Canis lupus familiaris: one gene and its partner. The protein of the gene in region 1 interacts with the protein of each later gene in a pairwise test. Links are inferred from orthologs where the notes say so. Each region holds a gene or a part of one and is shown on either strand. Other genes may lie near its edges. The genes, in order: TRIB3 and ATF5.

Region 1 (3,903 bases):
AAGCTCTAGAATGAATATATTGTCCAAAGAACAAAGCAAACTGCTAAACAATATACCTGGAGATGATCTTATTCTTGTAAAAAAAAAAACCCACCAGCATTAAAAAAAAAAATCTTCATATTTGCATGTATGTAGATATGTAAATGTACAGGACAAATTCTGGAATGACCCAGACTAAACTGGCCACAGTAGCTCCTGGCCTTCTGGGAGGACTCCAACAGAGGAAAGGATTTGGTAGGGAGGCAAGGGAATTTTCAGTTTCAGTAGTTTCAAATAAAGATTCTGCATTAATTTATTGCTGAGTATTTCAAAAAAGAGTGTATTTTTTTTTTTCAAATGTGAATTTTACTATTGCCTGATGGCCCAAGAGTGATCAGAATCACAGGTCAATGTGCAGAGTTGTCCATAGACAGCTAGGTTTCACCATCAGGTAAGAAGTAAGGCAAGCAGGGGGAGGCCTCTCAAAGGCCCCAATTCATTCAACTACGGCGGAAGCCATCAGCAGGGCAGCTGTGTAACTGTGTATGCGGTGGATGGAGGAGACTGCAATGGCAGTCAGGGCAGAGAAGTTCTCTCTAGGACCCATCTGCCTACCCATTCAGGATCCAGATGAGGGACAAGGAGCCCAGGTATAAGACATTAGCAGGATATAGACTTCAGCCCAGTTAAAGACTTTCCCAAAGGTCGGGGGCAGAAAACATCTCTCAGAGACCATTCTCAAACTGAGGGCCACGTACTCCCAAAATCCCAAAAGCATGGGATGCCTTGGGAAGGATACTCCACATTGAGTGAAAGGCCATAATCCCAATGTGGTAAGAATGAAACAGCAGGTGGCTGTAGTCAGATATTCTTGTAGTCAGATATTCCTAATCCTGGCTCAGACTTTTCCCAGCTGGGTAGCTCTGGGCAAGTCCTGCAGTCTTCCCCAGCCTCAGTGCCCTCATCTGTAAAGAGGGAGCAGGATGCAAAGTCCATATGATTTTTTGCGATGATGAAATAAAAGCACAAATAATTTAGTGACCCTGTTGCAGGGTGGGTGTCAGTAAATGATCACCACTGTCAGCCCATTGCTACTACTATTCATAGCCGGAGGTCCTTCAGTGCTCTCCTTCGGACTGTGGCTGGGGCGGCTCTCCTGTGGCCACATCAGCACACCAGGCTGCTTGGCCATATCCATGCCTCAGAGGTGGGTGGGGCTTGGGATAAGCTCCATGGGGCAGGTGGAGTTACTGTAACTGAGCAAGGGACTTTGCAGACCACACTGCAGGACTAGAATCTCCACTGTAGGATGGAGCAGCCCCCAATATCTACCTCTTGCTGTTCCCTGACACCTCTAGGGGAACCAGGGCAGGTCATACCAAGCACACACTCACAGAACCCAGAGCAGACAGGTGTACACACACCTCTCAAACGCACAGGTTGTCCAAGCCAACCAGCTGAGACACCACATTAAGGGCAGACGGGAGCATGCACATCGTTAAGGACACGCATCTCGTCCTCTGTGGACAAGCGTGCAGGCATACACACACACTCGCCGCGCACGGCGGACAGCAGTAAGGTCACAGGCAAGGTCTGACACGCGCCCCATCCCCCCACGGGCCCTCGCCCCGCCCTCCCCAGCCCGGCTCCTCCCGTGGGAGCGGAAGCGGCGGGCAGCGGGTGTCCTGAGGCCGAGGATTCAGCGGAAACGGAGCGGCGAGAGGCGAGAGGCGGAGAGGCTACGGAGGGAGGCCGGCCCCGGGGCTGCGAGAAGGGGCGGACCTGGGCCCCAGCCCCGCACACCCGGGGTCCGCAGGCGCGAACCGCACACGCGCGCAGTACAACCCGCAACCCGCGGCCGCAGCGCCAGGTGCGCACCTGCTGCCGACGCTCCGTGCGCTCCGGGGTCCCGCACCCGCGCGCGGCGGCCTCGCTCCACTCGCCCTGCACCCACCCCAGGACACCCCAGCGCGGCCCCAGCGTGTCCCCCGCTCAGCGGACACCTGCCACCAGGTGCGCAGCCCTCCCCACCGCCCGCACCGTCCGCCGGGACACATCCCCCCAACCCCGCAGGCTCACTCTACAGTGACACAGACCCTGCAGAGTCCCCAGCGACGCCCACGGGCCCCTCACACACGCCTTCCCCCGCCCCACACTCGCCTTTCGGGGCGACACTCCCACGTCTCCGCCCCGCCACCCTCAGCCCCCGGGAGACCGCCGCCGCCACCCTCGCGGGTGCGCCCCTCCCGCCCGCTCCCGGCCCCTCTCGGGCCCCCTGGGTACCTCTACCGGGCGTGCGGCGGGGTCCGGGGCCGCCCGGGCTCTCCCACGTGGCGGGGGGCCCGCTGCGACGCGACTGAGCTCGGGCCCCCGGCCCCCGGCAGCCGGACACGTGCGGAGCCGCCCGCGCTTCCGCTGCCAGTGTCTCCCGGCGCCCGCGACGGCCCCGGCCCCGGCCCGGGTGATGCAAACCTGGGCTAATCGGCCGCCGCCTGATGCGCTCAGGCCCGGGATTGCACCATCCCCGGGAGCCCCGCCCCCGCGCGCCCCGCCCCGCCCCGCCCCTCTCGCCTCACCCGGCCTCCAGGGGTGCCTGGGCTCCGCCTCCTCCCCCACCGGCCCCGCGCAGACCACCCCCGCTGCCTCTCCCTATCGCTTTGGAAAGAGCTTTTCTGAGCCTCAGTTTACCCGTACGTGAAATGAGGGAGAACATCCTTCCATCTCAGGATGCAGAGGAGAAAAAGAGCAAACTGTGACAGTTCCCGGGTGCTTTCCTGTTTATAAAGAACCTTCCCACCATTGCTTGATTAACCTTTAGGAGGACCCTGGGCAGGCAGAAAGCTCTGCTCCCCCCATCCTACAGTGAGGCCCAGCGCTGGGAAAGCAGCCCTGGAGCTTTGCAAAGACTGCAGACTTAGGAGCTGACTCAGGACTCAGAAGAACTAGTGTGGTCCCTTGGGGAGAAGACCTGAGCTGGGGCAGGCCTCACAGGGTTCTTTGGAGAGAGGCGGTGCAGCCTCATGGTAAAGAGCCAGTGCCCTAGAGAGCCAGTGCCCTAGAACCAGCCTGCCTAAGAGTGCACCCCTAGCTTTCCACAGATGCACTGTGCAACCTCAGGAAAGCTACTTCAAACCCTGTTGGAGCTGAAGTTCCTCCTCTGTAAAATGGGTTTATAGGAGTATTCACTTCATAAGGTTTTCACTGGGAGAAAATGCTTAGAACTATGTGGTAGGCACGTCCTAAGTGCTCAATGAATAGAATGAGGCTCAGAGGGGAAGGCACCCATAACAGGATTTGCACCCTAAGCCAAGGAGGCGCTGGGGCCACTTACTGTTTGGCAAGCCAAATCCTTGTGCAGCCCCAGAGTCCAGCACCTTTCTTGGAAATCCCTTTTAGGTCTTGATGTCTGAATGTACCAGTGTAAAAAAATACTCCTCCAGGCAGAGACTGGATGAATGGTGGGTGGAGTTACCTTTGTTTCTCAGGTTCCAGAACCCCAGGGATCAGCTCACCTGTGTCTAAGGACCTTCAGGGTGCACCAGGGTGTTCTGGGATCTCATTTAACCCTGGAGACTCCCCTGCCAGGGAGGGACTAATGAAATCATTTTCTATGCCAGGACACCTAGAGTCAAGTGGAAAATCCCACAGCAGTAAGGGACAAAGAAAGGTGGAGTTGGTTATTTTTTGAGCTTCTCTATGAAGCCAGCACTGTACCGGGTTTGCTCATACATTCATAACTTTGTTCATGCTGTGTCAGACCCTGTTCTAAATGCTGGGGACTCTAAATGCAGTGACAAGATTGGCCAATCTCTGCCCTCACAGATTTTTTTTTTAAGATTTTATTTATTTATTCATGAGAGACACTTACACAGAGAGAGAGAGAGAGGCAGAGACATAGGCAGAGGGAGAGGCAGACTCCTCACA
Region 2 (3,903 bases), on another chromosome or scaffold:
GGTTGGTAAACTGATCCAGTGGGGGGCAGCTGAAGCAGAACCAACTGGCCTGAAAGGAGGGCTAAGGATAAGGGCTGATGGGAGGTGGGCAGAGGATGGAGAAAAGCTACAGTCAGGGTGATGATGCCTGCTTCTCTGCAACTGTGCTGGTGTTGCGGGTGAGCGTCCATCATCTGGAACAGGGAAAGGTGGGGATGTCTGGCAATTACTGACACCTTGAAGAAGTGAAGAAGACACAAGAATGACCTACTAGCAGCTATTGTATGGTCAAATGTCTGGGGATCTTGCCAGGGCAGGAGGTATGGTTGAGACTCAACCCCAGAGTTCCTATTAAAAATAAGATACATTAAATAGGCAATTAAGAGCCGGGCTCTGGGTTTCACAGGCATCGACTTGATTCTCATCAGGCAGAGTTGATTATTTTCTTCATTTTACAGGCAGTTCTCGATCTACGAGACTAGAGAACTTGATTATTTGGCCACCATCGCAGGTCTGAGATTTGAACGGCGCGCGCGGTCTCATTGTGACTCAGACAAGAGTCTAACCCACAAAAAGGGTTCTTAGCGTGGGGCGGCAGTTTGGGGATAGGAGTCCAGCATGTGGCTGGCCGGAAATTCGAGAACTAGGGCAAAAGAAACCAAAAGTGAACTAGGGCAGGTCTCAGAGAAGGCGAGGGATCGAATCCCTAGAATTGGGGGGGAGGGGACCTGAGTCAGAGAGACAGAGAACAGGACCCCAGAGTTGGAAGGAGGACGGGGGCCGGAACCCCTGGGGTAGGAAGACGGAGCTGGTCCCCGGGTCAGAGGAAGGAAAAGGCCTAACTCCGCGTCGGGAGGAGGAGGGGAGTGGATTCCAGGATTCCCGAGAGGAGAGGCCAGGCCCGCCTCCCGGTTGGGGCCTGGCGGGGCGGGGCGCGGATGGATCCGGGGAGGCCGTGCTGCGCCATCCCCTGTATATCTGTCCCCACTCCCCGGGGCCGCCTCATTCCCCATCCACAGATCACAATCTCCTCTCAGGCTACCGAGACGCCATCTCCGCCCGCCCAACCCCGGCTATGGCTCTGTAGCCGCGACCCCTCCGTGTCCCGGCCCGTTTCCGCGCTCACCGCGCTTGCGCTCTTCTCTACCGCCTTCTTTTCTTCAGCTGAGGCTGCCGCCGCCTCTCCTTTCCGTAGCCATGGAGTGAGTAACCGCTCGCCCCTCCCTCTCCAACCGCCTTTCCCGCCCTTTCGAAGCTCGCGGCCTTCACGACCAGGCCTGGGGGGTGGGGAGACGAGAGTGAGGAATCACGGTCGCGCAGGCGCAGAAGAGGGAAACGCGTCGTTGGCACGCGGCCGAGCATGCGCATTCGGTCCAGTGGGGGAAGGGTACGTTCTTCCCTAGAATGCTGGAGTTTAAAGATGGCCTGCACGCAGTGCGCCTGCGCACTAGCCCCGAGCGGGGGTCGCCCCCCGCTCCCCGAATGAGTCTGTCCGCGAGCGGTTGCTCACGTGCACAAGCCCACCAGACTCCGTATTTTTTGAGTGAAGGGCGGGCAGTAAGCAGCTGCACATGCGCACTGACTCCCCAACCCCGCAGGCCTGAGAGAACAATTGGATCAGTGGCAGAGCATGCGCTTTAGCCCTGCGAGAGAGGCGTGTGGCTCCGCCGGCCGGCTCCCGTCTCCGAGCTCCACCTTGCTCATGCGCACAACACAATTTATGTTTCATTCGGGCACCTGCTGGGGCGGGGTTGGGTGGGGCTGACTCAGATTGACAGGGCGGAAGGCGAGGCTTAGAGGCCACCTGTAAGGAGGGGGGTGGAGCTAGGATCAGCGGCTGCGACGGGTGGGCGGGGGTCTATCGTGAGAAGGGGCGTGGTTAAGCAAATTTACCTGGGGTGGGGTTTCAACGGAGAGAAGGCGGGGCCTCTGGGGTATCCCCGGGAATGAAGTGGGGGGCTAAGGTAATTGGACGGGAAGGGACTGGGGCGGTCACCGCGAAGCTAAAAAGAAGCCGTGGGACTTAGTAGACCACGGTTTGGAGGGGCAGGGCTGGGGGAATTCCCCTGGGAGCTGATTTTTTTTTTTTTAATTTTTATTTATGATAGTCACACAGAGAGAGGCAGAAACACAGGCAGAGGGAGAAGCAGGCTCCATGCACCAGGAGCCCGACGTGGGATTCGATCCCGGGTCTCCAGGATCGCGCCCTGGGCCAAAGGCAGGCGCTAAACCGCTGCGCCACCCAGGGATCCCTGGGAGCTGATTTTTGAGCCGAGTGTTTAGATGGGATGGAGCCTAAAGGAAATACTTTAGAGGAAGGGGTGTGGCTGGAAGAAAATTCTCCTGGGATTGAAATTTTTTTTAAAAGATTTTATTTATTTATTCATAAGAATACACAGAGAGGAGAGAGAGAGAGGCAGAGACACAGGCAGAAGGAGAAGCAGGCCCCATGCAGGGAGCCCGACGTGGGACTTGATCCCGAGTCTCCAGGATCAGGCCCTGGGCTGAAGGCGGCGCTAAACCGCTGAGCCACCCGGGCTGCCCTGATTTTTTTTTTTTTTAATGAAGTGTAATTTTGTGAGGTGGGAGGGAAGGGCTTAAGGAAATTCCCCTGGGAGACCATTAGGTTTTTGTATAGGAAGGAACAGGGCTTGGGAATTCTAAAGAAAAGTAAGTGGGGCCCAAAGAGGGGCACCTGGGTGGCTCAGTGGAGAAGTATCTGCCTTTGGCTCAGGTGGTGTGATCCCAGAGTCCTGGGACAAGTTCTGCATTGGGCTCTCCAGGGGGAGCCTGCTTCTCCCTCTGCCTATGTCTCTGCCTGGCTCTGTGTATCTCATGGATTTAAAAAAAAAGAAAGAAAGAAAAGAAAGAAAAGAGAAAAGAGAGAGAGAAAGAAAGAAAAGAAAAGAAAAGAGAAGAGAAGAGAAGAGAAGAGAAGTGGGGCCCAGGGGATCCCTGGGTGGCGCAGCGGTTTGGCGCCTGCCTTTGGCCCAGGGCGCGATCCTGGAGACCCGGGATCGAGTCCCACGTCGGGCTCCTGGTGCATGGAGCCTGCTTCTCCCTCTGCCTGTGTCTCTGCCTCTCTCTCTCTCTCTCTCTCTCTCTCTCTCTCTCTGTGACTATCACAAATAAATAAATAAAATTTAAAAAAAAAAAAGAAATTGGGGGAAAGAAAGCATAGATTTAGAATTCTGATAGGGCAAGGTGCAGTCTCAAACCCAATTGGAAGGGGAAGGTAGGAAGGACCTTGGGGACATGGAGCTGTGGCTTGGTTTCTCTGTGACTTTGGCTGTGGATGAGGATGGCCTCTGACATCACCTATTCTGTCTCACTTGTAGGTCTTCCACTTTCGCCTTGGTGCCTGTCTTTGCCCAGCTGAGCAACCTCCAGAGCCTCCTTCCAGCTGTTGGTTCAGCCTTCTTCATTGCCACACCTGCCCAGAGCCTGTGCTGCAGCCATGTCACTCCTGGCGACCCTGGGGCTGGAGCTGGACAAGACCCTGCTCCCAGCTAGCGGGCTGGGCTGGCTCGTAGACTATGGGAAACTCCCCCTGGCTCCTGCCCCCCTGGGCCCCTATGAAATCCTTGGGGGAGCCCTGGAGGGCGGGCTCCCAGGGGGAGGAGAGCCCCTGGCAGGTAAGGGCAGGTAGAGAATGGAGGTGGGGTGAGCTGGGCATGGATCAGGGGAGAAGAATTCATTGATTCACTCAATAAATAGCTGTAATGCTCCAGTGGTGGCTTTTAGGGGCTAGGGAATATAGCGGAGACAAGATCAACATAACCCCAGCCCTCTTGGAACTCACACTGAAGTGGGGAGGCTGACAAAAGAAAATTAGGTGATGATGTATTGGGATAAGTGGAAAACACTTTGTAGCTAACTAAAAAATGAAAACAAAGTCCTAATTTAGAGTCGGTAGCCAGGAAA

Evidence for each region.
Region 2: the proteins of TRIB3 (region 1) and ATF5 interact in a two-hybrid assay, tested with the Homo sapiens proteins (2 studies listed by BioGRID and IntAct). The link is inferred for Canis lupus familiaris from reciprocal best matches to the Homo sapiens genes TRIB3 and ATF5.

What each region holds. Positions count from the first base shown.
Region 1 is NC_049245.1:20,963,589-20,967,491, forward strand, and holds the start of TRIB3 (tribbles homolog 3), read right to left. Parts: upstream 2,512-3,903; 5' UTR 2,452-2,511; intron 2,406-2,451; exon of another isoform or gene 2,263-2,405; intron 1-2,262. UniProt on the Homo sapiens protein: Inactive protein kinase which acts as a regulator of the integrated stress response (ISR), a process for adaptation to various stress. Inhibits the transcriptional activity of DDIT3/CHOP and is involved in DDIT3/CHOP-dependent cell death during ER stress.
Region 2 is NC_049222.1:107,309,628-107,313,530, reverse strand, and holds the start of ATF5 (cyclic AMP-dependent transcription factor ATF-5), read left to right. Parts: upstream 1-887; 5' UTR 888-1,181; exon of another isoform or gene 1,182-1,238; intron 1,239-1,896; exon of another isoform or gene 1,897-1,943; intron 1,944-3,317; 5' UTR 3,318-3,436; coding exon 3,437-3,614; intron 3,615-3,903.